Linked DNA regions of Rhinolophus ferrumequinum. The protein of the gene in region 4 binds, or shares a complex with, the protein of the main gene of each other region. Links are inferred from orthologs where the notes say so. Each region holds a gene or a part of one and is shown on either strand. Other genes may lie near its edges. The genes, in order: TAB1, CASP3, CASP7 and XIAP.

The links.
Region 1: the proteins of XIAP (region 4) and TAB1 are in contact, whole or in part, in a crystal structure (PDB 2POP), measured with the Homo sapiens proteins. The link is inferred for Rhinolophus ferrumequinum from reciprocal best matches to the Homo sapiens genes XIAP and TAB1. Residues at the interface, in NP_001158.2 of Homo sapiens: Phe33, Ala34, Ser38, Gly39, Pro41, Ser43, Ala44, Ser45, Thr46, Arg49, Tyr75, Ser78, Ala79, Val80, Gly81, Arg84, Phe92, Ile93, Gly95, Tyr97, Leu98; in NP_006107.1 of Homo sapiens: Glu99, Ala100, Arg103, Thr201, Gln202, Leu203, Glu212, Asp213, Phe216, Arg217, Gln220, Arg241, Glu269, Glu271, Ile272, His273, Ala275, Gln276, Pro277.
Region 2: the proteins of XIAP (region 4) and CASP3 are in contact, whole or in part, in a crystal structure (PDB 1I3O), measured with the Homo sapiens proteins. The link is inferred for Rhinolophus ferrumequinum from reciprocal best matches to the Homo sapiens genes XIAP and CASP3. Residues at the interface, in NP_001158.2 of Homo sapiens: Ala137, Leu140, Leu141, Gly144, Gln145, Val146, Val147, Asp148, Ile149, Ser150, Asp151, Thr152, Ile153, Tyr154, Asn226, Leu231, Gly232, Arg233, Asn234; in NP_001341706.1 of Homo sapiens: Tyr204, Trp206, Arg207, Asn208, Ser209, Lys210, Asp211, Trp214, Gln217, Lys242, Thr245, Glu246, Phe247, Glu248, Ser249, Phe250, Phe252, Thr255, Phe256.
Region 3: the proteins of XIAP (region 4) and CASP7 are in contact, whole or in part, in a crystal structure (PDB 1I51), measured with the Homo sapiens proteins. The link is inferred for Rhinolophus ferrumequinum from reciprocal best matches to the Homo sapiens genes XIAP and CASP7. Residues at the interface, in NP_001158.2 of Homo sapiens: His136, Ala137, Leu140, Leu141, Gly144, Gln145, Val146, Val147, Asp148, Ile149, Ser150, Asp151; in NP_001218.1 of Homo sapiens: Tyr230, Trp232, Arg233, Ser234, Pro235, Gly236, Arg237, Trp240, Glu274, Ser275, Gln276, Asp279, His281, Phe282.

Annotation. Positions count from the first base shown.
Region 1 is NC_046293.1:8,078,033-8,085,596, forward strand, and holds the start of TAB1 (TGF-beta-activated kinase 1 and MAP3K7-binding protein 1), read right to left. Parts: upstream 3,002-7,564; 5' UTR 2,946-3,001; coding exon 2,913-2,945; intron 1-2,912. UniProt on the Homo sapiens protein: Key adapter protein that plays an essential role in JNK and NF-kappa-B activation and proinflammatory cytokines production in response to stimulation with TLRs and cytokines.
Region 2 is NC_046287.1:77,145,543-77,153,477, forward strand, and holds the start of CASP3 (caspase-3), read left to right. Parts: upstream 1-4,934; 5' UTR 4,935-5,023; coding exon 5,024-5,035; exon of another isoform or gene 5,036-5,082; intron 5,083-5,757; exon of another isoform or gene 5,758-5,828; coding exon of another isoform or gene 5,829-5,831; intron 5,832-7,935. UniProt on the Homo sapiens protein: Thiol protease that acts as a major effector caspase involved in the execution phase of apoptosis. Following cleavage and activation by initiator caspases (CASP8, CASP9 and/or CASP10), mediates execution of apoptosis by catalyzing cleavage of many proteins.
Region 3 is NC_046299.1:14,265,958-14,273,573, reverse strand, and holds the start of CASP7 (caspase-7), read left to right. Parts: upstream 1-4,615; 5' UTR 4,616-4,739; intron 4,740-5,341; exon of another isoform or gene 5,342-5,466; intron 5,467-7,616. UniProt on the Homo sapiens protein: Thiol protease involved in different programmed cell death processes, such as apoptosis, pyroptosis or granzyme-mediated programmed cell death, by proteolytically cleaving target proteins.
Region 4 is NC_046284.1:33,251,691-33,259,598, reverse strand, and holds the start of XIAP (E3 ubiquitin-protein ligase XIAP), read left to right. Parts: upstream 1-4,905; 5' UTR 4,906-5,082; intron 5,083-5,106; exon of another isoform or gene 5,107-5,292; intron 5,293-7,908.

The DNA.
Region 1 (7,564 bases), on a different chromosome or scaffold from region 4:
TGAGTGCCACTCAGAAGGTTCCAGGCTTCTACTCTTGCCACGCAAGCGCTTTTCCACGAAGGGCTTTCTCCGATCACAAATCAGATCACATCAGGCCTCTACTCAAAACCAGCCGAGAGGCTCACATCGCACTCAGAACGGAATCCACATGGCGCCCTCGGACCTGGGTGACACGCACTTCTTCCCAGCAATCCACTCCAGCCACACGGGTCCCCTCCATGCTTCCTAAGGCAGGCCTTAGCATCCCTGTTCCCTCGGGCAGGAACACTCCCTCCCGAACCCCACTGCACCGCATCAAACGTTGGGGTCTTCCCCTGCCATGCGGCCTGAAATGGCTCCTCGACCACTGTGTGTGCCGACGATTCCCCACCGCACCACCTGACGTGATGTGATAATCATCACATAGCATCTGTATTTCTGCATTGTTTACTCCTGTCTCCCTTCCTAGAGTGAGGGTCGTGTCCCCTGAACCTTCCCGGCACCTGCCACACAGTGAGTGCTCAGTGCCATTTGACATTTGAGAGAATGAACCATAGGTAGCAGAACTGAAGGTGGAACTTCACAACTGGAGTGTGACCGTGCCAGGCTAGGAGCGTGGCATGTCAGTTCATTTACTACTAACAACACTTCTGGAAGTCTTCTCGGTTGGGGAAACCAAGGTTCAGGAATGTTGCGTGACTTACCCAAGGCCATACAAGCAAGATTCATACTCTGTTTTATCTGGCTGCAAAGGGCCTAGGTTCTTTTGAACACATCAAACTATCTTCAAAAGCTCTTCTTTTCTTCAAAAGATCTTTTAAAGTACCACACTGCCTGGGGACGAAAGTTGCAACTTCTCAGGATGTCATCCCACGAAGCGCGCTGCCCGCTGGCCCCAGCACTCCCTTCCAGCACCACGTCAGCGAGTCCCAGCGCTTCCTGCAAGCCTCCACTGGCCCAGTCAAAGCGAGCCATCCACAGCCCCTCTACGCACTGCCACCAGAGGCCTCACACATTGTGTTAGCGGTATGTGGCTCCTCCTCCCAAGCTCAACTGCAAATGGAGCAAGAGTGTGTACATGCCTTATTCACTTTCACATCCCCAGGTCCAGTAACCACAGACTAGCAGTCCTCAAAGCCATCTGCTGAATGAGTGTCTGCGCTGCTCTCCCCAGACTCAGAACAGCACAGGGCAGGACAGCAAGCCCCACACACTGACACCCTCTGAGCAGAAATGTCCTGAGCATCATTAGGGTGGGAGGGGCCTTGTGTAGACATCCGTCATCCCTTTGCTTTCGTCAAGATGCTACATGCTTAAAGCTAACTAACCTGTATTTCAAAGATTCCCCCACCACCCAGGAACACATTCTGGAGCTAGTAAAGCTCACCTTCTGTCTAACCCAAGTTCCTTGGGCTCCATCGCACCTACAGGGGAGGGAAGCTGGCAGCCAGTCTCCAAGCCAAGCTAGCCGACAGCAGTTATCACTTTTATCATTTGCCACACATTGCAGCCAGTGTTTCTGGAATGTTTACAATGGGGACATTTACACAGGGGCCCTGACGTCTGGGAGCTTACAAAGCAAGAGGCCAGGTCTACCTAACCAACCCAATGACAAGGCCGACCTATCAAGTAGTTAAATAAAGGGGGGCAGCCAAAGGTGTAGGAAGAGAGCTACTCCCTCCCTCCCACTGGGAGTTGCTGTCCTGGAAGAGCAATTTCAGAGTCTACACAAAGCCTGTCATTCATACGCAGCAGTGAAGGTCATCCCACACACACACATTCTGTTGCTTCAAGACCCTCAAGGGCAGGACGGCCACTGTTGAGCACTAGACCTGGCTACAAATGCTTTCCTCATTATTTTACAAATATTTACTGAATGCCTGGCACCTAGTGGTGGTAGGTGCTGATGGCACTATTCATTGTACAGGTAGATCACAAGTCCCTGTCTTAAAGGACTTCACCTTCCAGTACAGGAGGCAGACATGTCCACAGGCAATTACAACAGACTGTGTCTGTTGTGTGCCTGCTGTGTCTGGGGAGGACCCATGGGACCGGCACCCAATCCTGGCAGGTCAGAATAGGCCCACGGTGCCAACGTGTGTGCATCTATGTACATGTGTCAGGAGGACCCAGGGGCTGGAAGACATCAGCTACCAGCCCATGAGAGTCCAGACTGGGAGTCGGGGTGGGTCTCATGACAATCCTCCCACTGCCTGCGCTCACCTTACAGATAAGGAAATGGAGGCAGAGGCGGATGGAGGCATAGTGAGATACAGCCAGGACCAGAAGCCAGGCTGCCTGACTGCGGTCATTCCTTTGGTATAGGTTACAGGTTAAGAGGGTTTCTGGAATGACTGCCTGATTTTCATTCTGCCTCTGCCACTTACCAGCTCTGTGGCCTTGGGCAAATGACACCGCTCTGTGCCTCAGTTTCCTCATCTGTAAAACAGGAATCACAGTACCTATCTCATAACGCTGTTAGGAAAATGAAACTTACAATGTAAAGCCACTGGCACAAAGCCTGGGATAAAAGTGGCTGAGGCCGCTACGATTATCATCCCACGACTGCCTGCTCAGTGCCGGGTGGGCTCACCACCCTTGCTCCCTCCGCTGCCGCGAGGCCATACTCCCTTCTGGCTCCAAAATGCTTCCACCCTCGACGCGCCCTGGACGCTACAGGGGACTCCAGGACCGGAATCCGAGCCCCCGACGGCCGGGCACACCGCGCTCCTGCGCAGGGCTCGCGGGGCCGCGCGCGCCCAGACCTAGGGAACGAGGGGGGCCGGCCCTGGAGAGGGGAGGGCGGCGGTCACATCCCGCCAGGGACAGGTAGGCGGCCCACGGCAAAGTGGCAGCGGCGCCTGCACCCGACAGGCCTCCCCGCTCCCTCCCGGTTCCCAAACCCCAGCCCGGAGAGCGGGTCTCTTCCTCACACTCTGTAGCAGGCTCCTCCTCTGCGCCGCCATCTTGAAGGGACCCGGCGGGCGCGCCCGCCTCCCGGCAGAGCAGACGAGAAGGGCGGCTAGAGCGGCCTGATGCCGGCCCGGAGGCCGGCGCTACCGGGGAGCAGGCGCCCAGCGCCACCCCATGGCCGAGTGGGATGGGGCCGCACCGGGGCGTGGACGCGGTCGCGCTCTTCCACCTTTTTCTCTAGTGGGAGATAAAGGGAAGGCTTCCGTAGGTTTGCCCCTCGCCCATTTTTATTTGCACACTTTCCCCAGGATGCCTTTCAGGTGAGGCTCCCAAACCCGGGGTTAGGTTCTGCAGGAACACGATGGGGAAGGCGGAAGGTGGGTTATTCGTTCACGCAACACATATTCATTGGGTGACCGTGCCTGGGCCTTTAGGGGTGAAGCAGCAAGCAAAACAGGCCTTCAAAAAGCTAACGTTTTAATTGGGGAGGACGTTTATATACATACGTCTTTCACGTGGTGATACTGGGTTTTCTGGAAAATAAGACCTACCCTGAAAATAAGCCCCAGTTAGGATCAGCCAGACGGCCGCATTTTGGTACGTTATGATGATGTTCCAGAAGAAAATGACATGACTGTACTTGAATAAATGTAGATTGTGGTACGTGAAAAAATAAGACATCCCCTGAAAATACGCCCTAATGCGTCTTTTGGAGCAAAAATTAATCTGAGACCCGGTCTTATTTTCGGGGAAACACGGTAAATGCTAGGAAGAGAAGTTTATGGATGAAGCATGGTAGTGCAGTGTTAACTGGTAACAGGGAAGGGAAGGGCCAGCGAGTGCAGGAAGCCTGAGGGAAGGGAGCATGTGGGTTCAAGAAGCACGCGTGTTACAGAAGGCTGATGTGGTTGGAAAAAAGATGGAGGGGGAGTGAGATGAAGGGCGCGTAGGGCAGACTCTGACCTTGTGAGCCCCAGGCAGGAGTTGGGCTATTCACCTGGAGGACAAAGGGAAGCTGTGCACATCCCAGCAAGTCACTGACACGATCTCAGGTAGAAAGATCCCTGTGACTACTGTGTACAAAACAGATTTTTAAGGGGATTGGAGTGGAGACAGGAAGACCGATTAGGGGACTGTTGTACTAGTTCTAGGTGAGAGATGATAGTGGTTTGATTTGGCTGATGGCAGTGAGTGGACTTTATTTAGGAGATGAAATCTGCGATGCTGGAGCAAGGATTGGTTGTGGGTGGTGATGTGTCAACGATTCTTCCAGATTTCTGGCAAGAACGGCTAGGTTTGGGAGAGGGAGAAGGTAATGACCAGGAGTTCAGTCTGGCCGTGTTGAGTTTGAGGGCTTTTGAAACATTCAAGAAAAGAAATCAAGTCAGTCTTTAGATGGAGAAGGCTGGAGCTCAGAGCAGAGGCTAAACTGGCAAAGATGACAGAATGAGCAGCTGGAAAGGCAAGGGGAGCAGAGGCAGCACAACCCAAGGTGAGGAGTGTCTAAGGAGGGCTGGGGCAACAATGTGAGATGCTTTTGAGAGGTCTAGTTAGAAGGTAACTCTCTGGAGAAAGTCTATTAGATGTAGCCATCTTTAATTGCGCAGGCAGTTCAGGTAGAATGGTAGGACCAAACTCCATTTGCAGTGAATTGAAGAATAGCTGGGAAATGGAGACCTTGAGAATAGGCGGACTTCCCAATTGGTGGACTGGGAAGAGGAAGAGAAGGGAACGTGGGGTTGAGAGAGGGTTTTTCCTGTTAGGCTGGGGAAACTTGAGCCTGTTTAAATGCCAAAGGAAAGGTTTAATAGAGAAGAGCTGATGATTTAGAAGGGGGAAGTGGGTGTCAGTCTAGGATGGTGACTCACCATCTTGCTCTCCTCTCAACACAGCTCCACATGACTCAAGATGACTGCTTGAGCTCCAGCCATTTGTCTGAGTTCAGCCAGCTGGAAGGCAAGAGGAAGATAGGAAGATGATACCTCTTTCTTTCTTTCTTTCTTCTTTCTTTCTTTCTTTCTTGTTTCTTTCTTTGTTTCTTTCTTTCTTTCTTCTTTCTTTCTTTCTTTTCTTTCTTTCTTTCTTCTTTCTTTGTTTCTTTCTTTCTTTGTTTCTTTCTTTCTTTGTTTCTTTCTTTCTTTGTTTCTTTGTTCTTTCTTTCTTTCTTTGTTCTTTCTTTCTTTCTTTCTTTATTTGTTTCTTTCTTTCTTTCTTTGTTTCTTTCTTTCTTTCTTTGTTCTTTCTTCTTCTTTCTTTCTTTCTTTCTTCTTTCTTTCTTTCTTTCTTTCTTTCTTCTTCTTTCTTTCTTTCTTTCTTTCTTTCTTTCTTTCTTTTTACATTATTAATAACAAAATTTACTCGCAGGCAATCTCCCTTCCCTTTTAAGGGACCTCAGAGGTTCCGCATGATGCTTCCCCTACATCTCTTTGGCTGTCACTTAACTCATGCCACATGGAGCTAAAAGAGAGGTGAGGAAATGTAAGCTTTGGACTGAGCTACAATGTGCCCAAGTACAGTTCCTGTACTAAAGAAGGATTGGATAACGGACACCAGGAGGCTATGAGCAGTCTTCTCTGCCAGGAAGGGGTTTGGGAGGGGCCAGGTGGTTTTTCCTGTTGAAGAAGAGTCTGGAAAGAATCAGGATTTGGAGCCCAACCCACTCCATTCTAATCGCTGCCCCATATCCTGTCACCTGTGTGACCCTGAATAAGTCACCTCCCCTGTCTGAGCCTCAGGACCCTTCTTATAATGGGAGTAAGGCTACCTGGCCGAATGACTGCGAGGATTAGATGAGGTGCCATGGAAAGACCTGGCTTGTGGTAGGCCCTGATTACAATTTAATGTTTTTAAAGATAATAAACACACATTGAGCACCTACTGTATGCCAAAGCACTTGCTGGATGCTTTCTCATCATACACTTATTCATTCTCACACCTGCCTTGTGAGATAAAGATTGTAGTCATCTTTAGTTTATAATGTAGGAAACTCCAGTTCAGCAAGTTACCCAATAAATAAATGTCGGGATTTGAACCTAGGTCTTCTGACTCTGTGATGTGATGTAATAAGAAATACATATTTTGGACTGGGTCCCACAGTCCTGGCACAGAGCTTCTTTTTTTTTCTTTCCCCTTTCTTCTGCCTCCCCCCACCCCCCCCCAATTCCAGTTCAAGCCGTTGTTTCTTAGTCTAGTTGTGTAGGACACAGCTCCCTGGCTCATGCTGGTATTATGAGCCTTGTGCTCCCCGGCTGAGGCAGTCGGTTTGCTGGTCATCGGTCGGCCGCTCACAGCAGCTCTCGCCGGCTGCCGGCCACTCACGCTGGCTGGCGGCAGCACACAGCAGCACTCAGCAGCTCCTGACAACCTCCGGCTGCTCACAGCAGCCCAGCTCCAGGAAGACGCGTTGTTCAACCAATCTTAGCTATAGAGGGCGCAGCTCACTGGCCCATGTGGGAATCAAACCGGCAACCTCAGCATTAGGAGACAGCGCTCCAACCACCTGAGCCACCAGGCTGGTCCCCACAGAGCTTCTAAAAGGGTTTTGAAATTTCCCTGAGTGATAGAGATGGTAGGAGCATCATTTGTTACTGATAACAAGCACTTTCAACTATCTTGCAGGTTTATGTAATGAGATGACAGGTGGCTGGAAGCCCCTGGATGACTTTAGGCTGGAGCTGGTTGCCAGAGCAACCACCCACGTGATTAGAGGTTTGGAGCTTTGAGCCCTGCCACTCCCATCTCAGGAGGGGAGAGGAGCTAAGAATTGAGTAAGCACTAGCGGCCAGTGATTTAAGCAACCGTCCTATGTAATGGAACCTCCATAAAAATCCTAAAGGAAGGAGTTTGGAGAACTTCTGCGTTGGTGAACCCACATCTGCGTGCTGGGAGTGTGGCACAACCCAACTCCAGGGGGACCAGAAACTCCTGCACGCTGTGGACCTTTCCAGATCTTACCCTATCACCTCTTCACTTGTATCCTTTGTTAATAACTCGGCAACAGCAAGTCACGTGTTTCCCTGAGTTCTTGAGCTGTCATAGCATTTTATGGAATTTGAGGAGGGGGTCATGGGAACCTCCGATTTGTAGCCAAATTGGACATTAGTGTAGATAACCTGAGGACCCACTACTTGGGACTCATGTCTGAGGAGGGGGCAGTCTGTGGGAATCCACCCTTAACCTGTGGGGTCTGTACTAACTCTGGGTAGTTAGTGTTAGACTGACTTAGATTACAGGACACCCAGTTGGTGTCTGCAGAGAGCTGGAGAATTGCTTACTGTGGGAAACCCACACATCTGACGTCAGAAGTGTTCTGCTGTTGTAGGTAAAAACCCCTCGGTCGAAGACTCCAGGGCCTTTCCCTGCAACCCTGTGAGAGAAGCAGACCCTCCAAGGCCCTTCACAGCTCAGCCTCACTGTAATTGCTGGAAGTTTTCCACACAACCACACTGTTTCCGGCCTCCATCTTTGTACCTGTTGTTCCCACATTTGACTACCTGGTGGACTTTTATTCAATTGTCCAGGCTCTTAGCAAATGAAAGCCCCTCCTCAGAAATTTCTCTTGATTCCCACCCTAAGGATACTCCCTCGGTCATTTTCGATCATGGAAAACTCTAGTTATTGGTTGCAGTGACCTTCCAGAGGGCAAGAACTCTGGCCGTTCAGCTCTGGGTCT
Region 2 (7,935 bases), on a different chromosome or scaffold from region 4:
ATGATTATATTTTAACATTTGTTTATGAATGACATGTTTTTGTTTGCATACAATGCTTTCATGTTAGCCATACAAGGTAAGGGGCCAGGTAACACTTTTCCAATTTGGGATTATGGTTTACTTACAAAGGAAAAATGATAGGTTTTCAGAAGAAAGGAGGGGAAGTTTCTGAGATTTTAGAAGGGGGAAGGCTTTTATTGTAGATAAAAAATGGCCATAAATTCTTAGCCATTCCTCTCATCAGGAGATGCCATTTAAACCCACTCTCATACTGAGTCTGGGTTTGCCCAGGTGACTTGCTTGGACCATGTCTCACTGACAAATGGGAAACAAGGAGACATTTAATAAGTGCTTTTGCATTGGATTTGGCTATCTTGGACACCTTCCCTGAGATTGTCATGCTATAACTCTGGCCTCATAGAGGATAAAAGCCATCTGGAGAAGAACCAAGGAACCTCAGCTAACAGCCAGCACCAACTATTTCAGATTTCTGAGTTAAGCCATTTTGGATCATCCAATCATCATCTGAATTCAATATATGAGTAAGCCTGAGTTAGTTTAGGCGAGATCTGCCAAAGAACTGCTCAGCCAACCCACAAAACTATAAGAAAAAGAATTGGTGGTTTTGTGTTTGTTTTTTTTAAGCCAGTAAGTTTGGGCCTGGTTTTTACACAGAAATAACCAATAACTGAGTTTCCCTCTTCATTAATATCTTCTATGTCATAATATATCTATGTAGAAAACAAGTATGTTAGTTTTTTTCAGTGAAATAATAATATATACTAAAGCATTTGAGGGTAAAATTCCTATTTACCTTTGGCAATGTCTTTCCAGTACTTGCACTTATCAAGTTGATAAATATTCTCTAGAATTTTAGCAGAAAACTCTGTGACAACACAAACCCACTGGCAAATGATATATACTCCCTGAATGGAAAAATATCCCTAAAAGATTGAGAGGATAGGAATGTCATGACATGGCTAGAAATAAAGGCATATTATCCATAGATTTCAACTATAACAGACTTAAGATTCTTCTCTGTGACACCTAATCCACATGAAAATTATAAATTACAAACCAAGAAACAAATATAATTCTAAGGGTGTCAACATAAATTTCCTAACAGATACACTTACGAAAGGAATGTAATTTCATTCAACTGAAGAGATGGGGCAACTTTTAATACAACTGCTTTAATTTTTCAATACAAAATGATACAGCCCTTTATTGCTAGATTCTGAGTATTCAGTTCACTTTAATCTGCTTCACATAAAGATAAAAATTCCCTACATTTAGATAATCTAATTGGGAGAAACTGACGTTTTTCCTATGAAATTTATTAACTTTTAATAAAGCCCACTGATTAGTTAATGAAGAAAATAAACACAGAATGCAATCAGATGTGAATTTTAGCTCCAGTACCTAATAACTGACTAGGACTAACCATGTGGATCTTCACACTTAATGACGATGACATCAGGAAATTTTTTTTAGATTTTGTAAAAATATTGTTATGACCATGGGAGTGAGTAACTGAGAAAACCATGAATGTCAAGAGAGAGAAAAAGTTCAGTATCTATTATGCTCTCCTGGTCTTTACACAGTTTGAAATTTTTAACAGCTGGATTGAGGGTTAGAGGACAACTGGGGCTTGGAGTGTTCCAGCGGGAGGGCTGAATGACAAAAGCAAAGGAAATGAAGAACAGGAATTCATCTGTATTTCTCAGCCCTTATCCTCCAGAAATGCTTTCAATTCCTGGTGGGGAAAGAGTTCTTTCTTCTCTATAACCATACATCAAAAAACCCTTTCCACATAGGGTCCATAACTACCGATTTTTGGTAACAGTTTCCAAGTTCCAAAGAAAAATATGTATTGTATTTTAAAATAGTAAGCCTATTGTTTATTTCTAAACATTGCGCCAGAATTTTTATTTAACCATGTTTGAAACTGATTTTACAAGTAAAAGGGGTCAGGCTAGAAAAAAGGCTGGCTTTAGTCCTTTCAGAGAGGGGGAGGTGGGGATGGACGTGGAGAGATGACTCAGAAAGCCAACCTAAGTAGCTCTGGTTTCCCTAGGTTTATGCCTAGACTTGCCCAGCTATGACACTTGATAGCCTGACTCCCAGGAGCAGCTGGACTAGGGGGCACATGCTTCGTGATTACTGGCTTCTAGGGAGATCTGAAACCTGCCTTGCCATAGCTCTCTCTAGCCCAGTTCTCTTGGTTTCTTTCTTGTTTTTGTCTAATCACAAGTCAATTCTTATTCCCCAACTCCAGCTTCTCCCTCTGCCCTCTGAATGGATTCATCAGTATTTTGTGTTTTCTTGCATACGTGTTCTAGTTCTAGTATTTAGTAAGGTTCTGTTATTTGGCAAGGTTTTCTTAATCCCTTTTATGGCCTCTTGGAATACAGTTATACTATTTCTCCCACTGCTAAAGTATTCATAATAAAGTATGTGATTAAAATTCATTTACAGTAATATTATTATATAAATGTACATTCCAGATGAATGACACCTTAAAGAATTAAATAAAACGAATTAACTGAATTTTCTTTTTTTCCCCACTTCAGTTCACTTTGCCTCTCTATGCTTGAACAGAAGTAACTCATATTTAAATTTTCCAAAAATCTCCTGTAAGGATAAGACATACTGTTCTTTTCCGGTTGCCCCTTTCTACTATCCCCACAGGATGTCCTATGCAAAAAGCCTAACTCTGCCAGACCAATCACCCCTAAGTCCATTTGCATAACTTTTCCAGGGGCACTCGTGAATGATTCAGAGCGTCACTCAATCCACACTACAGTTTACCTCAGGAAATCCAAACTCTCTCCAGAATCTAGCCCTAAACCACTTGTGCAGTTTATGTCTTACTGTTCAGCCCTCTCACCAAATGAATGATAATGACCAGTCCCCGCACCTGGCCACTCCAAGTGCCCCTCTTTCCTGTTTCTCTCACCTGTAATACCCCACTTCCCTTTCCCAATTTCTTCCCCTTCAAGGGCAAGATCAAGTTCTGACCCCTAAGACCCTTTGTAAAAAGAAATTACTAGGTTAAGAAGACAACTGTTTGTGTCTCCAGCCAACTGTTTGATATAATCAAAGTCTCTCTAGACTAAGTAAATTCGTGTAATTTACACAGAAAAAGAAAACTGCTGCTGTTGCTTTAACTGAAGCATCATTTTGGTAAGACAGTTTAGCACAGGAAGGGGTTTGGGTATCACAGTGGGGTAACAGGACTTGTTCAACTACACCAGCGCCTTCCTTATGAATAACCGCACGTTGAACCACTGTTTGGGTTTGGGAGTAAGTCCCATTCTTCAGTTTTACTGCAGCAAAAAAAAAGGGACTGCCAAACATCCGTCCTCTCTCAACTTGGGAGGGATTAAGAAAGGCCTAAATTTTATTCCTGGGGTCCAAGTTTAACTCCTGTAACTTTTTTTTAATTTTTTTATTGGGAAATATTAGGGGACAGTGTGCCTTTCCAGGGCCCATCAGCTCCAAGTCATTGTCCCTCAATCTAGTTGTGGAGGGCACAGCCCAACCCCCAAGTCCAGTCGCCGGTTTCAATCCTAGTTGCTGCCCATGCGGGAATTGAACCGGCAACTCTGCAGTTGAGAGCTCGGCTATAACCACCCCTGTAACTCTCCTTTTAACAAAAGCAAACGACTTAACCTTTTTAAGCTCGGGTGGGGATTGGAATTCCCACCTCCAGGGGTTGTTGGAAGAATAAAATAAGAAAACGTAGTGTGAAAATGTAAGAGCACAAAATAAACACTCAACAAATGGTAGCCATATACAGAGGGTGCCAAAAAAAAATGTATACACATTCTAAGAAAGGGAAAAAAACTGTATTAAAATTATACTACTATATACTGATAACAAAAGATGAACACAAGTCATGTGTATACATTTTTTGGCACTCCTGGTATATAGCGAGGTATATTTGTGTATAAATTATAGCCCCTGATTTATGCCCCAGTAGGCAAAAGTGTTGGGGGCAGTCTTGTTCTTATCATGGGGTCCCTGACTTGTCAGAATGTTACGAACCTCTTGAAATTTGACGCAGAACTTCGTTGTCAATAGCGTTGGTATATTCAGCGAAAACAATTCTTAGGTCTCATCAGGGTCTGAAAAGAGTTCGTGACCCAAAATAGGCAGGAACGAGTGGGGCAGTTAAGGTTTTTGATTTAGGGACGGGGAACTGGGGGTGACCTAAGGAAAGGCCTCGGGGCGCCCGAGGGGAAGCAGATTTCCAGTGCGGATCGCGGCCCGCTTCCCTTCATCCCCGAGGTCACACTGGGCATCAGGCCCGACCTTGGCTCCCTCTGCTCCGCCCCCCGGGCCCGGGGCGGCCTTCAGGTCCCCGTCCGTTTACCTCCAGAAACCCGCGCAGTAGGCGGAAACCCCTCGGCCTTCAGCAGCTGGCGGAACCCATGACGTGCCCATCGAGACCGGAATCCAGTCTTCAAATTGCGCGCGGGGGCGGGGCGTCCGGGGGCGGGAGGGCGGGGAGCACGCGCGCCTAAGAGAAAGCGGCTGGGGCGACGATCCCGGGCGCGCAGGGAGGGGTGGGAAGGCGGGGAGCCCGGGAGACAGCAGCGGGTCGTTGTCCTGAAGGGGCGGGGGCGGGGCGCACCGGGGCAGCGGGGACGTGTCTGCGGGGAGCGCAGCGCCCGGGACCGAGGGGGCGGGGTCGGCGGGGGCGTGGCCAGGGGGCGGGGCGCCCGGGGCCGCGGGGACGTGTCTGCGGAGAGTGCAGCGCCCAGGACCGAGGGGGCGGGGCCGGGGCGGGGCTAGTGGGGGCGGGGCCTGCTCCCGAGCCCAGCGCTACCCTCGGCGGGCGGCGGAAACCAAGCTTCGCAGAGAGGGGAGAGCTGTTGGCTGTTGTGTGGGGGCTGCTCGGTGAGTGCTGCCCTCGTCCCTTCTCGCCGCGGGGCCGTTAGCTCTGGGCCAGCTCCCTCCATCCTTCCAAGCACAGCACCCTTCCCAGAGACCTGTCCAGACCTGCAGCTGCTCGGGGATGACGGAGGAGGTGGGCACGGTCCGGGCGGAGGATCCTTTGTTCTGCCACGACGACGGGTGCGAGCACGAGCACTGAAGCCAGCGAGCTGGAGACCCGGTCGGGGGTAGTGGGCGGTCGGGCGGGGGGTGTGGAGGCCCGACAGCGGCCGGCGGGGGAGCGGAGACCCTGCTGGAGCTGCGGAGCTCGGAGGACGGGAGGCGGGTCCAAGACCGAGAGGCCAAGCCGGGAGCGTCGAGGCGGCAGGCGGGCGACTGAGCTGGGGATGTGGCGGCCGAGAAGTGGAGACCTGGCTGGAGAGCCAAGCCTGGGGGACAGGAGGCCGAGGCCGGGTAGCAGGAGGCTGGACCCGGGTCGCGGAGCCTGGTGGGGAGGGGCGCGGGCGCTGGGCCCGAGTGTCGAGGCCGGGTAGTAAGAGGTCCGACCCGGGAGCAGGAGGCCACGGATGCTTGGAAAGGGAGGGCGGGCTGAGGTTTGAATCGGGAAGGGAGGAGCTGAGGATCGGCGACGAGAAACGCTGTCTCCAGGGCAGGAGGCGAGTTTGGTGCTTACCGGCAGGCGGTTTCTCGGGGCTGATCCTCCCACTCTTGGGCAAGGGTTTGGTCTCTGCTGCCTTGCCTGTCTCGAGCTTGGATTTTCTCGGGTTGACTGTGTGACTTAGTTTTCTAGAGAGGTAATTTTCAGCATTAAACTCCAATTCCTTTTCAGACCTGAAGCCCTCGGTGAATCCTTCCAGCTCCTTCCTCCCTGTGACTATATATCCAAGGCCAGTCACCTGGGAGCTGCTTTGAAATCCCCCCAGGCCATGGTGAATAAGAGTGCCTTTCTCACTCTTGTTTTCAGTGTGTCGGCCCTCAAGGCAGCTGCCTCTTTCCTTGTTCTCAATAAATGGCACCAAACCAAGAAACCGGAAACGAACCTTCTCACCTACCTCTCCCAGCTCCTTCCTTGGTTAGCCACCAAGCCTCCTTGACCTCCTAAATGTCCACTGCATCTGTTCACTTCTCTCCATAACCGATTTAAATCACCCTAGGCGCTCACCTGGCTGCACCAGCCTCCTCATTGGTCTCCATACTTCCAGACCCTCTGCCCCTCTTCAATCCATTCTTTATAGCACAGGCTTTGCAAAATAAAAATCTGGAAAACTGTTCCTTTGCCCGTATGATAAACCCAGACCCTTAACATGGTTAACAAAGCCAAACACAGATTGGCTCCTTGGTTCCCTCCCCTGCCTTATCTTTTATGATAGCACCCTTTCACTTTCTGCATGGCCATGCTGATCTTAATACCTGGTCTCTGCCTGAAACACTCTTACATTCCCTCTTTCCCCCATCACATCACATTTGCTTGAGGAACGTCTCCTTATGTTTCTGTTGTCATTAAACACTTCAAGGTTAAGTTTTCCTATTATGTTCCTTTTCCATCTGTCATTTCCTAAGAAGGGAAAGTCATACCCTTTGCAGTTGCTTGTTTACTATCTTCCCCACTTGCTTCCCTAAGCAAATTCCATGAGGGACTCTGTTTATCTTGTTCCTTATTGTCTTTCCCCATACCCAGAGCCTGGCACAAGTGAATGCCCACACTACACAATTATCTTTTAATTATTCCCTATCCAGAAAAAATAAACCTGTTTTGGGATTACTTAGCAAATTATAATTAAAAGATGTGGCTTAGAAAGGAACGGTAGAGGTGAATTATGGAATTGCTGAAAAATGTGGATGTGCAGGATAGTAATAGGAGGGGCTTAGCAAGACGGTTAGACCAGACTGTATCAAAATGTGCTCTGCCGGTTTGAATATGTTATAGGCACATAACCTCTAAGAACCAAATGGAAAGCTTAAGTCATTCCTATTATAGCCTGATGATTGAGCTTCGGTATTGGTTTACTCTTGCAAAAAAAGATTTTTCAAATTTATGATTTGTTTTAATGAATGAATGAACAACTTACTGGAGTTTGGCAATAAGACCTGTTCACAGTAAAAAAGACATGAAACATTGTATCTAATTAAATCAGATTTGCTTTTGCTATCCTGAAAAATGGTCTTGCCTCCTGCCCTTTTTTAAAAAAAGACTAACATCTTATCTGATATAAGCATTTACAATGTTTCTTTGCTGTTTTGCTTTCAAACCTAATTTAACACAATCTTCTGCTTCATCCTCCTTCTAGTGCTAGAAAGCAGTCTTTATTTTCATGGATGTCATTAAATCTATTCTGGTGCCTCGTATTAGGTAGTTCTTTAAGCTCTGCCTCAAAGAAGGGAAGCACTGGTGTTTGGTTCTAGAAAAAGAGGTGGGAATTCTTAGACTGTTAGTTATTTTGTTCACATTTAACAAATACAAATGTAATGGAGGGAAATAGGTCCTCTGTAGGCAGACAACCTGAGGCCAAGTCCCAAGGGCTGTCTATACTAACTAGCTCATCCATAAATTAGGCGTAAGTAATTTACATATCTGTTGGGCTTGTGAGTATAAAACGACATAATGTCCGTTACAATGCTTTGTAAATCTCTATGTAATGTTCTTCTCTGCCTATTTTGTTACTGCCTTCAAATTGCTACTAGAGCTTCTGAGTTAGGGTAGAGTAAGATACTTATCTGATACAAATGTAACCCTGTCCAGCCTCTGCCTTAGTTGAGCCACTTTTGAATACCAGTGAGCCTTGGTGAAAGTTCCACATAGGGAAAGTGTCTTTGTCTCTTCCCTTACTTGATGGGCTCAGGATGTACTACCGTACTCTGCGCACAGTTGGTGTTCAGTAAATGACTGGCGCAAATAACAAATAAACTTCTCAGTTTCAAACCTCTGGCAAGCAGGATTTCTTTAATGGGTGGTTGTAAACCTGAATCTGCCTCTACAAAGGAGTGGTTCTTAGTGGGAGGAAAGAGGTCTTGTAGGTTATCGGTAATTTTTAT
Region 3 (7,616 bases), on a different chromosome or scaffold from region 4:
GACACCAGGCTGTGACAGCCTCAAACAAGAGCACATGGGCTCCTCTGGCCTTCAGGACTGTTCAGACAACATCTGTCTTAGCCTGGGTTCCCCAGAAAACAGAACCTGAGGCAAAGGCTTATGTACAAGGACCATATTCAGAGGTGTCCCAGGGAGCAGACGCAAGGAGGTAGGAAACGGAAGGAGGAGAGTCAACATGACGGTTCGTTCTCAAAGTAGCCACCACGTGATATAAAGTGCATTGGATCACTTGATCTCCACCTTCTGAGAGGCCATATAAACAACTGCTACTCAGGAACATGTCAATGGAAGGAAGGATTTATCTGGCCTCTGTCTCCCACTGCTGAAAGTTTTGCCCCACTGGGTGTTAAATCCCCTACATGTCCATGTTATGTATGGACCTAAGGAGTCCCACAGCATCTCATGACTCAATAGCAGAGAGTCCAAGACTTGGGCTCAGTGGTGACGCGCTAGAGCCAGATCAATGTAGAGCCTTGTTGATCCTTGATCTGGATACTTTTGCCAACACTGTCGCATGTCGCTTTGGCTTTTCTTTTCTTTCTTTTTTTGTTTTTTACATCTTCACTCATGGGGAGCTTGTTGTGATCATTGGAAAATTCCACAGCCTTTTGTTTCACATTAATGACTATCATGTTCAGTATGTAAGCAACTGATTTCCTTTTTGAACTTCAATAGAGCACTCATTTATCTCTTTTAAATTTCACCCTGTTGATGGTGGCCCCATTGCTTCATACCTTGGTTCTGTCATCCAGAATATGAGGTAATTCTTCCTAGCTCTGAATCCTTTCCAATGCCCTCCTGTAGATGTGAAATGGTTTTGAAATTACAGACGGATGACGAATGCAAAGTAAGGACTAAGCTACCAACCCTTCACTCTGTCACTGTCTCTCTGGTTAGATTGGGGTCATCCTTCCACGCTGGCAGTGTGTGCCTACCTTAGTTTGGGTTCTTCCAAAGCAAAGCTTAAAGCACAGACTTGGGTTCAGGAAGTTTATTTAGGAGGTGGTCCCACAAGGCAAGAATGAGGGTTTTAGGTCGGTGAACTAGAGAAAGAGGAAGAGTCCATAAAGGCATATTCTGAGCTCATTACCCTAGGGACAAGGGGGGTGCAATCTCACTGAAGACACTCTGAGGAATCGTATAACATGTTCCCCAGAACTACCCCGCTGAAGGACGGGAGGCGGGGACACTTATCCACCCAACTCTCATGTCCCTTTAGTTGCAACTTACTGTTGGGGCACTAACTCCCCTCCACCTCTAGGGTACACCTGTCTGCACGAGCTGAACATACTTCTGCAGCTTCAGAGAAAGCCCAGGGACAGGGAAGCAGAGGGACACTGCTGTGGGAACTTAAGGAGGGCTTGGTGACGTGCATCAGTGAGCCAAGGGAACATGGTATAGGGTACCCCAAGAGTCAGTCACTCAAGGAAACAGACTGTAGGCAGGGTAAAGTGTTCATATGAGATGCCATGAACTCCCACTGTCCTGCTCGTCAGGCTGATGGTGTCATTTCTGCTCCATCCTTGCACTGCTCTGCACTGTGCAGCGCTGTGTCCAGATAGGTGGGGTGGAAAATTCCTGAAGCAGAGCCTAGTTCCAAGCTCTCACGCTTTTCAAGGTCAGAACTGCCACTTCAGCCTCACCTCCATCCCTTGGGGCTTACAGGTGCCTGGAGGGGAGGTTCTTGGGGGTGTTTGATGAAGTTTCACGAGCACCTACTGATGGGGAGTTGGTGGCTTCAGGGTTGCTCCCTGCAGTCCTGAGGCCTACGCACTAGATGGTGGGGACCAAGGTAGGCAAGTATCTCTCCTTGCTCTGGGGAAGCCTGAAGGTTGGTGAGGTTGCCTAACTTGTTAGGCTGTGCCCTGAGTTTCAGCGAGTGATCTGTTTGTATAAATCTGGTCCACAGGAAGTACTGTGCCTAGGAAAATCAGGGAAATATTTTGCCTCCTCTCAATCCTAAATCTGGTTTGAGACTACTCTTTAGTTGAAATTACTATTTGCTTTGGAAATGGGATTGTGTCTTTTGGTCTAAGACAGAGTCTATAAACTTCTGTAAAGAGTCAGATTGTAAACAGTTTAGGCTTTGCGGGCCACATAATGATCTCAGTTGCATCTTCATTTTCTTCTTCTTCTTCTTCTTCCTCTTCCTCTTCCTCTTCTTCTTCTTTTCTTACAACCCTTAAAAAATGTAAAAACCATTCTTAGCTTGTATGCCATACAAAAAACGTGGCCCATAGGCCATAACGTGCCAACCTCTGGTCTAAGAGGTTGCTCACAGGACGTCAGGAGCAAGCAGTCCAGAGTTCTCTTGGGGAGGCTGGTGGGGAATAGGAAGGCAGAGGAAAGGATCAGAAATTGATTCAGCCCCATCTGGCTTTGACTGTCTGCAAATGGGGGTCTTACTCAAGCGTGAACAATATCCAATGGCTGTGGTTGTCTTTTCCTGAGCCAGGGAACCACGACATACCCTGTGGGTGGCATGGAGTGTTTCCTCTGAGTCAAGGAATGGATATTCCTCCTGCTGAAGACCATAGAGTCAGAAGTAAAGCATCCCTTGGTTTGGGGAAACACTGACCTATCCATCTGGGTCCCATCAGGAAAGGAAACCACCCAGTAATCTGAACAGGGAAAGGTTAATATAACAAATTATTACCTAGAACAGGGCATTGGACTACCAAGAGATTGGCTAGTAGAAATAAAGAGGAACTCTAAAAAATATAGCAATTGCAGGTATATTTGCAGACAACATATGTATTAGTTTGCTGGGGCTGCCACAACAAAGTACCACAGACTAGAATGCTAGAATCCACAGTTCTAGATGCTAGAAATCCAAGATCAAGGTGTCAGCAGGATTGATTTCTTCTTAGGCCTTTCTCCATGGCTTGTCGATGGCCATCTTCTCCCTGTATGCTCACAAAATCTTCCCTCTGTGTGTATCTGTGTCCTAATCTCTCCTTATAAGGACATACTGGATTAGGGCCTACCCTAATGATCTCATTTTTACCTCTAAAAATTCTATCTCCAAATACAGTCCCAACCAGGTGGGTAGGACTTCAACATATGAATTTGGGTATGGGGGGGGGAGGGCGGTTACAATCTGGCCCATAACAACATGACATGATATGACATGCCACTACCCCTATAGCTGAGATAGAGAGCCTAAGGAAGAGCCCCCACCCCCCTTCTCCCTGCTCCAGGGCTGAGATCCAAATCTTGTTGGAGAGAGTGTGGCCTAGATGACAGAGAAGTCACTGTGGTACTGTGCCAGTGGAATTTGCTAGAATCTGTCCTTTAGACTTTCTGGATACTCTCTAGGTGCTAAAGAGAGCTTTTCATGGGGAGGTATTTCAGTGGAGACACTCTGCTAGAAGAGCACCCGAAGGGGGTGCCGGGCAAGGTGCTGGCTGCTGAGTGCTGCTGGCCACCAGGCCAACAGGAGCTGGATACTGGGACACCAGGTGTGCCACAAGAACCTGAGAAGCTACCCCTTCTGCAGGGGCCTGGTTCGCAGGAGCATGCCAAACACACCAGAACCGGGAAGCAGAACCTGTTCTTCCTGCACTCTCTCCAGGGACCCACTGACAAAGCTTAACACCAGGCCATAGGCAAAGGAAAACTCCTTCAAAGGGCCCAATTACACTTTCACAGAACAGACAGACAAAAAGGGTGAATTCTGAGCGTGGAGGCACTCTATCCATAACAGGAGCAACATGAATTCCTCCTTTCGGGTGCCAGCCTGACAGGTCTGGTGAAGGCCCTCTTCCAGGTTGCAAACAACAATCTCTCCGTGTCCTCACACGGTGGAAGGGACTAGAAAGTTCTGTCAAGCCTCTTTTAGAAGGGCAGTAATCCGGTTCACCAGGGCTCCACCCTCATGACAAAAGCACCTCCCAAAGTCCCCACCTCCTAATACCCTCAGGTTGGGCATTTGCTTTCAATGTATGAATTGAGGGGATACATACAGCCTATAGAACACCCACATTGGGAATCGTGCAAATGCCTGTTTAAAATATTCAGGAATTCAGGATTTTCACAGAAAGTAATAAATTATAATTATGCCCTTACACTTGCCTGGGGCCAGTCTTTCTTAAACCAAGAAAATGTCCTTACCTGGTAAGATATTAGAGATAATATTAAAGTCGCAAGCCCAGAGGAAAGCAAGCAAAGAAAAAGACAAGATGCGGTTCTTGGCTGAGGTCACAACATGAAGACTTCACTCCTTTCACTCAAGGTGTTGGTAGCTCTTTCAGAGCAAATATCTCTGGTATGAATAAAACTAATTTCCTTGCAAATATTTATACCTCAGTGTGACTAAGTTAATTAGCTGCTCCCAAGGAGCCTTGGAAAGAAAGGCATTAGAGGCCTCGGATGGAGGCCCAAGGATGAAGAAAGCCGTGGGGGACGGGGAGAGGGATGCAGGGGTGAATGAAGTGGAATCCGTGCAAGTGCAGTTCTCTCCCTAGTTAAACTAATTCACGGCTACATATCCAGTGGCTGACACCTGGGGGCGCTCACTATATTTCAGGAATGATTCCCGCGCCAGCCACGTCGGGACTAGCGGGCTGTTTGCAAGGACTTGCTCATGAGAAAGCTGAATTGGCGTCCTACTTCTTACGTGCACAGACAGGCGCACTCGCAAGTGAAAGCAAGTTCTGGAAGGCCGGAAGACGACAGCGGATCCGACGGTGACCCGAGGGGCTCCGCCTTGGGAAAAGGTAACACCCGGAGAGGCAGGCGCCGAGCACCCAGGGGCCCTGAACCGCACAGCCTGGGGTCAAGGATCTGGCTGGGCAGGAGCTTTAAGGCTATGGGAACTGGGTCTCCGTAGTGATGCGGGGGCCCAGGTAGAGTTGGGGCAGCCCCAGGAGAAGGAAGGAGGCGGGCGCGGGGCTCTGAGGAGCGTCCCATAATTGAGCGGCGGGGGGCTGCAGGGCGTGCTCTTCCCTCTGCGTGGCCCGGGAGGTTTGCGGAGCGCACTCTGGGAGTCACTTTGAGCGCTGCGAGTTCTGCAAATGTGCCGTCCCGAGGACTGAGCGCGGCGGCGGGATCCCATAAATCTCTGCAGACTGAATCCCGCCGCGCGGCGACTTTGTCGAGGGAGCTTTCCGGGGACGATGCGCCTAGTGACCCGGGCCACTTTGCAGGGCCGAGTTCCAGGGCGGTGCTCGCGGCCAACTTTTTAGAACGCGCGACCCACTTTGCCGAGGGCTCCTCCTGGAGACTGTGCGCGCGGCCAACTTCGCGGAGCGCGCCGTCCTGAGCCGGGGGCGGGGGCGGGGGGCGGGGCGGGGCACGTAGCCCCGCCCTGCTCCGCGTCTGGCCCCGGACGGCTCCGCCCCTTCAGCGCTTTACTTTCATTTTGGGGATAGGAGTAGCTGCAGACCCTAGCCGCGGAGGCACGCAGACCGCTGCCAGCTCTGCCCGCCAGGCCGCGTAGGAACGGTAACTTCGGCCCCCGCCTCTGCTTTTGCCTTTGCAGCCCCTCGGCGGCGCGCCTCCTCGGTGCCTCGTCCGGCCTTCTCCTCCCTCCTCCGCTGCCCCGAGCGAAGTCTGGGGCGGGGGATCGGGGTCCCTAGGAGCAGGGCTGAAACTGCCGGCGCTGAAACTTTGGGGGAGAGGTTGGTTTGATCAGCTTGACTTCCCTCCTAGCCAGCGGGCGTCACCCGGTACTATTCGAGATTTGGAAAAGAAGAGGTGGATTTAAAAGGGAAGGAGCGGTTCGTTATCTCGCAGGGCTAACGGCGGAGGCTCCCGCGTCAAACAGCCTAGATTCCGGTCCCCGCTTCCGTGCTTGCAAACTTGGCTCTCTCTGTACTTATCCATTTAATGGGAATAATGGTGATTAGGGTTTCCAGGGGGGAATTCCCGCCCATTCTCAGGAATTTTGTTCGCTTTCCGGTTCCCAAATCCTGAGAAAAGTTGGTTGGGAAATTGGGAAAATCGGCTCCTTGAACCCAGGTGGTTGGTAGTATGGGCCGTCACTTTGTGGAAACAATTCATCGTGGAGGACAGAAAACAGTTTATATCTTGGGATTTGGGACCGGGAAAGCGAAAAAAAATTCCTGAGAACGCGGGGGAATTTCCGACTGGAAACCCTAATTGGTGATCCTGGGCTGACGATTGCAGCCAGGATGGAAGGAGGCGATTATGTTGCATAGCAGTGCCTCTTTCAAGGCTTAGTGTGCTACATGTGAGCTACTGTCATCATTTTGCGAATACCCTTGTGCAGGGCTCTTGAAGATCCCTTGAGGAAGTGAAAAAAGATAGGACTCTCAAGCTGCCAGAGATCTTGTAACCTGTTACCTGTTGTATTCAAGTTTGCCGTTTATGGGGCAGTATAATTACTGATGGGTGATTCTGTGAGTCATTACCAAGTCATTGCCAGATCTTATCCCTTGAACTCCTGGACTGGCTGTCTACTTACCCCAACATTATTTACTTATAGGCTGTTTCCTCTTCAGGGTCTACAGTCTGACCTTCGTCCTCGTCAGGCAGCTACTACTTAGCTTCAAAAACTCTAAAACAACCTTTGTGTAGGTATAAAAATAAGGATGCTAAGTCTTCAGAAAGCATTGTGGGGCTGGCCTAGTGGCACAGGTGGTTGGAGCTCCGTGCTCCTCACGCTAAGGTCGCGGGTTCAATTCCCACATGGGCCAGTAAGCTGTGCCCTCTACAGCAGAAAAAAAACAAACAATCCGCAAGGTGGGTTCACAGTCCAGTTCTGCCTCCTCTTAGCTGTGTGGCTTTGAGCAGGTTACTTAACTTCTCTAACGAAACCATAGTTTTTTTTCTGCATTAGAGGGTAAAAACTCCCATCTTCTAGCAATGCTGTGAGCACCAGGTGACAATGGAGAAGTTGAGTTCCCAGCATAGCCCCCTTCTTCTCCAAATGCTAGAGGTGAGAGGTGGGGGTCCTCGGAGCTGCTGCTTTTTACGCCTTTTAGAAAGATTGTCTTCATTTGGCCAAGAGTAGGGTGCAAGTTGTATCATGTCACTTTTCTGAGGAAGCAGCTACAATGAGTTCATTCCCCCCACAGGGGGGGAAAAAGTTCAGATAATAAATAGCGGGAAGTGATTTTCTTACCAGATGTATGCCAGCCACCTATTAAGAAATAATGGAAATAATTAGTAGAGGATTTTTGTTTTCAGTCCCCACAATAGGTGCTTAAAATATGGATGTAATTTAAACGTACTGGTGAAGGTTGACAACTGAATGTTTTCTTGAGTTCTGCACACAGTGTTGATAATAGGGAATATTAAACCTTTACCATAGAATGTGCTACACGGTGCTTAGCATTTTGCATGCATCGTTCCATTCAGCCTCACAGCCACCTGTGACTGAGGCATCATTGTTTTCCCATTTTATAGATGAGGAAACTGAGCCCGGGAGAGGTTGAGTACTTTGTTGAAGGTGCTAATAGATAGAGGAGCCAATTTAACCCCTGATCTTTTGGCCACGACTGGGCTTTCCGCTGCGCTCCTGGGGTCCCTTTGGTTCTGTTGTGTGTCCCATATCAACAGTTCCTTCAGGACACTGAAGCATTAACACATTTTAAGTATATTTTAGTTATAACATTTATATAGAAGTATTT
Region 4 (7,908 bases):
GCTACCCAATCTACGGTATTTTGTTACTGCGGCCAGAGCAAACTAATACACAGGGATTTTATCTGGGCCCTGACTACCTCTCTAGAGCCTCAACTCTCTGTCAGGCTTCATCCATCCCCTTATCAACACCCACTCACATCTCCACCAGTAGTTTTGAGACCGTGGGCAGCCTAACATCTCTGTCCTCAGTTTTTTTATCCCTAGGGTTGCATTATGATTAAATGTGATCATCTATGTAACACATTTAACACAGGAGGAACATAAAAACATTCAACAAATGTTAGCAGCTACACTGCAGCCACAAGGCATTAACTGCCATTCCCCAAATGCACGCTGTTTTGTTTCACTTCCATGAGTTGGCACGGGATGATATGCCTGATTAGAATGCCTTTCTTCCACTGCTTCACCTAGCCAACTCTTGGTTGTCCTTTAAGACTGAAGTCCTGGTGGAACTAGCTCTAGTCTACCCTTCCCCAAGTTTGGAGCCCACCTCTGCACTCCAAGAGCATGCTGTGCTTGCCTCCACAAAGTGAGAAGCCATCGCAGGGTTTTAGATGAAGGCATGACCTGATCTGGCTTGAGTACCTACTCTATGCCAGGTATCATTCTAGATATGAGTCAAGACAAGAATAAAAAGAATACTTAGCTCATAGGGTTACTGAGAGGATTATGAGAGAGAAAGTGTGCCAAGCACTTAAGACAGTGTCTGGCATAGGGTAGTCAGTAAATGCTAAATATTATTATCTGTCTATATTCAGGACACTCACATCCATTGACATCTGTGGCCTTTGTTTCAGTCTTCCTCTCTAAATGCAAATCCCACTACCATCCTTGGTAATGACCCCTCCAACATGCTAGCCTCCCTCTTGGACCTCAACTCCAGTAGCTTTCACCTCCACCCTACTCCAGACACACCATAACAACATCCTGACCTTGACATTGTTGTTGGAGTGTTGGATTTTTGCAGACTGAGTAGATTGTGTACAACCATAGGAATGCATTCGACGTAGAAAGCCCAGGTGAAATTTTCCATTAGCTTGAGATGAAAGTGTGCTCTTCTGTCTCCACCCCAAACAAGCAACAAGTCTCTTCTGTATAACTGGGTCCCTGGAAGATAAAGTCAGAGAAGGGAAAGGGAGGTCTGGCTGGAGATGCTAGTTTTGCCAACACAAGATAAAGGCAGGAATTTTTATGACTGCTTAAACAGAGGAAATTATAGGTGCAGTCTTTCTGGCAACAAGGAGGGAGTGAGAGGTTAGCAATCAAGATACCCAAGCTAAAGTCAAGACACTGAAGGGCAGATGCTGCCAATAGACACTGTTCAACATGAATGATCTTCACAAAGTTTGTGCTCTGATGATGAGTCAAGAGTAATCCTACGCAGAGATCCAAGATGGTAGAGTAGATCAATGCTGTGCTTGCCTCATCTCATGAACACATTAAAACCTGGAGAACCATCTGAAGTCTAACTGAACAGAAATTTTATAACTGAAGATATAAAGAAGAAGCCATGTTGAGACTGGTAGGAAGGGTGGAAATGCAAAACAACCTGGCCCCAAACCTCTGTGTTGCAGCTTAATATTGGGAGGGATATCTTGGCCACAGAAGATACCCCCACTGGAGAATCAAGGGACCCCAACCACATACCAGGCTCCCCAGCCCAGAGTAGTGGTGCCAGGAAGAGGAGCCCCCACAACATCTGGCTGTGAAAAACAGTGGAATTCCACAGTCCAGATGGGATGAAAGGCTGCAGGAAACCCAGACATCCTCTTAAAGGGCCCACATACAGACTCACTCACAGGCACTCACCCTGGGCTCTGGCAGAGGGACAGTGACCAGGGCCATCAGAGACGTACAGGGAAAGACTGAGTTGTGTGGTTGCTGGGTAAGGACTGCCGGAACATTTGCCATTTTCCCTGTGTGGGGTCTTTCTACCTTGCAGCTGGCAGACAGGCACCATCTTTCCTATGTTGAGCCCCCACCCCATCAAGCCCATGGCCAAATCTGAATCTGAATTGGTCTGGTGAGCTCAACTTGCTCCACCCTGGTGACTCACTAAGACCCAGCCACACTCAACTCCCTACCACAGGAGGCTTTATCAGTGGCTGAACCTTACAGGAGCCAGCAGCTGGCAGCAGGCCTCAGAGTGCCCTGGATTTTTCTGGAGCTACCCCAGGCCCGGTACTGGTAGCAGCCATCCTCGGTTCCCAGTATGGCCTCTCCCATGCACCTCCAGGTCCAGCACAGGCAGTGATCAACAATGGATCGCTGTGTAGCACCTACGAGGTAGTTGCTGGCCAGTCACAGGCAATGCCTGACCTTGGACTGCACCAGAGCCCCTCCCAAGAGGTACCAGAACCAACATACTTGAAGGTTGGCTTCAGACCACAGCAGAGCACCACCCAATTAGCCTCACAGGTGGCACACCCAAAGGGCGATCTCAACAGGCACCAGAGCCTGCTCAGGTGAATCCCACTCTGTGGGTAAGCCTCCCACACAGCAGCCCATAAGCAGTAGAAGTGGCCAAATCCCACAGCCAGTTAGCCTGAGGGTCAAGCCCTCCCACTGACATGTCAACAGCAATCGACGCTCAGCTACAACAGGAGGCCCACACAAGGGACAATTCTGGAGCACCAGGAGCAGGTGACCAGGGAGACTGTGCCACTGGGCCCCACAGGACACCTACTGTATAAGGTCACCCAGCAAGCCTGAAAGAGGTAGCAGATCTACCTAATACATAGAAACAAACTGAGAGGCAGTCAAAATATGGAAACAAAGAAACACATCCCCAATGAAAGAATAGGAGAAAACTCCAGAAAAAGAACTAAACAAATTGGAGGCAAGCAAAACACCAGAAACAGAGTTCGAAACTGGTTATAAGGGTGCTCAAGGAACTTATTGAGAACTTCAACAAAGAGATAGCAAGCATTAAAAAAAAAAAAAAGAAAACAAAAAAGATCCAGTCAGAAGTGAGGAATACAATAACTGAAATGAAGAATGCACTGGAAGGAATAACCACTAGATTAGATGAAGCAGATGACTGAATCAGCAATTTTGGAGACAAGTTTTCAGAAAACACTCAATCAGAACAGCAAAAGAATAAAAAAATATGGTGGTCATGGTAGGCCCTATTGAGAAGGTGACGATTAAGCAGAAACTTTAAGGAGGTGAAAGACAAGCCATGGAAATAACTTATCTGCTCAAGTAATTTTAACATTATCCTGGAGGTTGTACTTCATGTTTTAACTCAGATAGCCATGTGCAGGCTAGATTGTGGGGGCACCAGTCTAGAGACAGAGAGGCCAATTAGGAGACTGCGTAATGATCAGACATGCTTGTAATCAGACAGATCTTGGTTTGAATCACTGTTCCAGCTCCCACACATACTACCTAGAAGTGTGACTTTGGACAAGCTACCTAATCTGTCTAAACATCAGTGTGTTCATCTGTAAAATGGGGATAATGTTACATATTTTATAAGGTTGCCATGGGAATTAAATGAGATACGTATTTGCTTGTGGTTACTATTATTGCAATAAATCAGATGTGAGATTTCCAGAGCTTAACAGTGGGAGAGAATCAGGGGGGATTCTTAGCAAATGCCTAAAGCCCCAAAAGAAGTCTTTCCTCCTTCCAAGGTCCCTTTTCATGAAGGGCAGCATCATTTGAGGATGCAGGTGATACTTATGATCTTCCCCATGAAATGAAACTTTCTAATTCAGAATCTCTTATCTCACTACACTAACCTGTAAGAAAGCCCATTTCTGAAACAAAATTCATCTGTCGGTCTGACAATCCTACAGCATATTTGAAATAAATCCTGTATTTTATGTACACAGATTTCCTTTGTTTCTCTTCTTTCTGCTGTCTTCTCTACTCATTTTCATCTTCCAAATCCCTTCGTGCCCCCACGAAGTGTCTTCCTTTCTTTTTCCTTTCATCCTTCCCTCCTTGGTCACAGATCATATTGTAATCTCAGTTCCCTCGTTTATTAGATGCGTGCTATTGGGATAGTTACCCTCTCTGCATCTCAATTGCCTCTGTAAAATGGGTTTAATAAGAGAATGACTACCTTACAGCAAAGTGCACGTTATATGGCTACCACAATGCCTGGTCTATAGTTTAAGAGCTCAACATGTTCGTTCTCTTGTGTATCTTTTTATACTTTAATCTCTATTCCGCTACTCAACCGCAGAACCCAGCAGGTAAAAACCGTGGGGGGAAAAAAACACCTGGAGGCTAAAAGAGGAAAGGCTTGAGCTGGGGGCGGGGACTGCGTGGTGCCCATGACGCATGCGCGCCCGCTCCGTCAGGTTCTGGTTTCTAGCTCCGGGGTGGGGCTGGGGGTCGGGGACAGAGGGCTTCGTTTGCCCTGACCGCCCCCTTCCCGTCCTGGGTAGTGGCTGGACCTTAGCTGCGTCCCCAGCGGCCTCAGTGCTGACTTTGGGACGTTGGGCCCGAGGAGTAAGTTCGAAAATGGCGGAAGGGGAAGAAGGAGGGGCTTTGCAGGGCTGGAGGCTGGCCTCCGGGCGGGGGTGGCGAGAAGGAGACTGCGGGGGCTCCAAGTGGTGCGGCTTGTGCCGTGAGACGGTCGGACAGCGGCCCGTGCCTCTTTGAGGCCCTCGGGATATCTCCAGGGGATGGGCGGGCTGGTGGGCGCGAGTGAGGGAGAAGAAGGGACTTCCGTTTCCTTTTAGGCCCGGCCGGGCCTCAGAGCGGAGTTGGCATTTCCAGATTGGGGCTTGCACCGCCCCTCCTCCAGAACCCTCCCCTCCGGACCGCGCAGGGTGCCGCAGGCGATCCGGGCGAGCTCTCCTGGCGCGGTAGGTACTGCCCGCTTGGGCTTCCTCCTTCCTTCCCCTCCCTCTTTTTTTTCTCCCCTCCCCTTCCCTCCTTTCCTCTTACTTCCCCTCTCTTCCCTTCCCTTCCCCTCCGCTCCTTCCCCTTGGGCCCCGCGTTACGGGGGGAGGCCGCCCCCCTCTCAGGCGCGGGTGCCCGCCAGGGCTCCAGGCCCAGGTTCCTGGGACTGACGATGGAAGGCGTGGGCGGGTGGGCGCCAACTTGAATCCCGTAACCCCTAAGGTAAATCGAGTCAAAGAACTTTCTCTAAAATGATCAAAGGGACCGTCCTCCCTTGTGATGCATGTGGCATGTATGGATCTGGGTGGAATGCGTGTGGTGAGGGCGTGTGAAGCTGAAAGAATAGTAGGAGCCAAAGAGCTTCCGGAAGAGGAAATTAGCTAGTAATTCTTTCCAACCTTTGCTGGTCTAGTCATCTCCCCAGGATCTTCTGTAAGTAGAACAAAATTCAATCTAACTTTCAGTTTCATTATTTTAACTCCGTAGTGCACTTAATTATTTTCGTTTCGGCAGGAGGGAAAGTGGTTATTGCTGAAACTAAGCCATGGCTGGCCCGCCTCTAAAAAAAGAACGTCAATCAAAGCTTTGTAAAAACCTACCCGATTTTAATAATCTGCTACTTTGCTTTCAAATGTAATTATGTCACTAGTTCTGTCAGAACTGTACCTTGATAGTTAATGAGGCATAGCAATTTACTCTGGTAAGACTGGAGATTACTATAATGTTTCTTTTTTTTTTTTACTTAACATTTGTTACAACCAGTTCAAGAGAACACTTACAGACGGCCATCTTAGAATTATAACATTTTTGATTTGGAAGGGATCTTAGTTCAACCTTGTTATTTTACAAAAGCTGAAACTGAGGCACAGGAAAATTTCATGGCTTGCCTAAAGGTACTCGACTACTTAAATTAGAACCCAGGTTGTCTGGCTCCTTGCTCGCCAGTCTTTCTGCGCAACCACTCCACATAGCCTCCAAGCAACGAACTTCAATGTATTCAGTATAACGTACATTTCTGAAGCCTCTACCACTTTGTGACATACGACTCTGCTACTGCTTTCAATGAATTTAACATGCTTATGAAGCTGCTGCTTGAAACAGTTTCCCCCATCATTCAAGAAGTGGCAACAGTTTAGGTTAAAAAGATTTATACACACAGGCACATATGTATACTTGAATACATTCAGGTAACTTTTTGAAGGATACGTAAAAGGATTTTTTTTTTACATAAGAAAAATGTTAACAGTGGTTACTTATGCAGGGTGAAGAGAGGTGGGAGGCTTTTTACTTTGCACTTCACTTGTGTCCTAATGTACTATTTGAATTTCTTCCATAAGCAAGTATTGAGTTTACAATTAAAAACAAGTTTTAAAGTTCACACACATATATATATATCAGTATAGATAAGTATATATCAATAATATGTGTATATGTATGTATGTACATATATGTATTTATGTATCACTGGTTTGGTTTTTTTGTTTGTATTATGAAATCCAGTGTGGTTCATGTCAGACTAACTGGCAAAGGAGGCTTGATTATTGCATGCTTACGTTTCTTTGGTTTTCTCTTGTTGTGCCTAATGTAAGATGGTAAAAAGTTATATATGTTACTAGTCTTTAAATATTTTTAGAAAATGTGCTATGCTTTTGATTATCATATAACGGAGCAAACTATTAACATTCCGGATATCAAATTTGATACAATGAAAAAATTGAATGTAGAATCTTTCTGGATAAGAATCATTTTTTTAAAAAATTAAAACTGGAAAGGTCCCTGGTGATTAGTAGTTCAGCTTTTTTCTTTCTTTGAATGGGTTAGTTAAGAGTCAAAGAAGAAAAGTTGCCCAGGGTTATATATCTGATTATTAGCAGAGATTGGACTAGGATCTAGGTCCTAGTCCAGTGCCCCTTGTAAATGATACCTGTAATTTTATTGCTTTCTAGTGCATTCGATGACGCCAACTAGGCAGACAAAGTAATGGTGACTAAAGATTAGGACCATTTCAATAGATAAGAATTATTGTAATTAATGTACCATTAATTTGTATAGTGCTTGAAATATTTTAGTAATGTAAATGTTCCCTTTACATTTGTTATAATCATTAATTTTTTTTAGTAAATCCTTTGTTTATATTACAAATACTTAGAGACCCCAAATATGAAACTATATATTTCACTGTTTTTGTTTGGTCTCATATATGAGTTTGGTAGTGCTAACAGGAAATAAAAAAACTATGTTTTATCTAAAATATATATACCTATATATACATTTAGATATATCTAAATGTATATATATCTATATATAGGTATACCTATATATATCTATTATACCTATATATATCTATATATAGGTATACATATATATATAGATATAGATAGATAGATAGAGCACCTACTGTATTCCAGGCATTGTACTATGTGGTAGGGTTCCAAAGATGAATATGGCAACATAGATGCCCTTGTTCTTTTGAGGCTGGAAGATTATCACGAGCTGTCAATTCTCAAACTTAATTTCTGGTCTAATGTGGTAATAGTATATAAAATGTAATCTATAGCACTGTTTAACGTCATTGTGTGAACAGATTTGAGGAGACAAAAACAGTGGTAAAATAAGTTGATACTGAATTGAACAGATGTTAGTTTTGTATCATACAGCTTATGTGGTACAGTGGGAAAAGCTCTGGATTGGATTCCTGCGTTCTTGTCTTGGCTTTGTTTCCAATCAGCTGTAGAATTGTGAGCAAGTCACTAAGCCTCAGTGCCTCCATATTTTTTTCATAACTTTTTGATATATTTATTCCATTTTATTCAAAACAAAAAGTATTTGGAATGTCATATATTATAAAAGGGAATAAGTATAACCCGCATTCTTTTATATTTACTTTTTTCATTTAGGATCATTTTGTATATAGATTGTTTTAATCCTTTTTCTCTCATTCAACATTCTGTATTGAACATTTCCTATGTCATGAAGTATTTCAAAATATAGTTTTTATTAGGCATATTATTCTGTGCCCCATTTCCTTCATCTGTAGAATAACAGGTT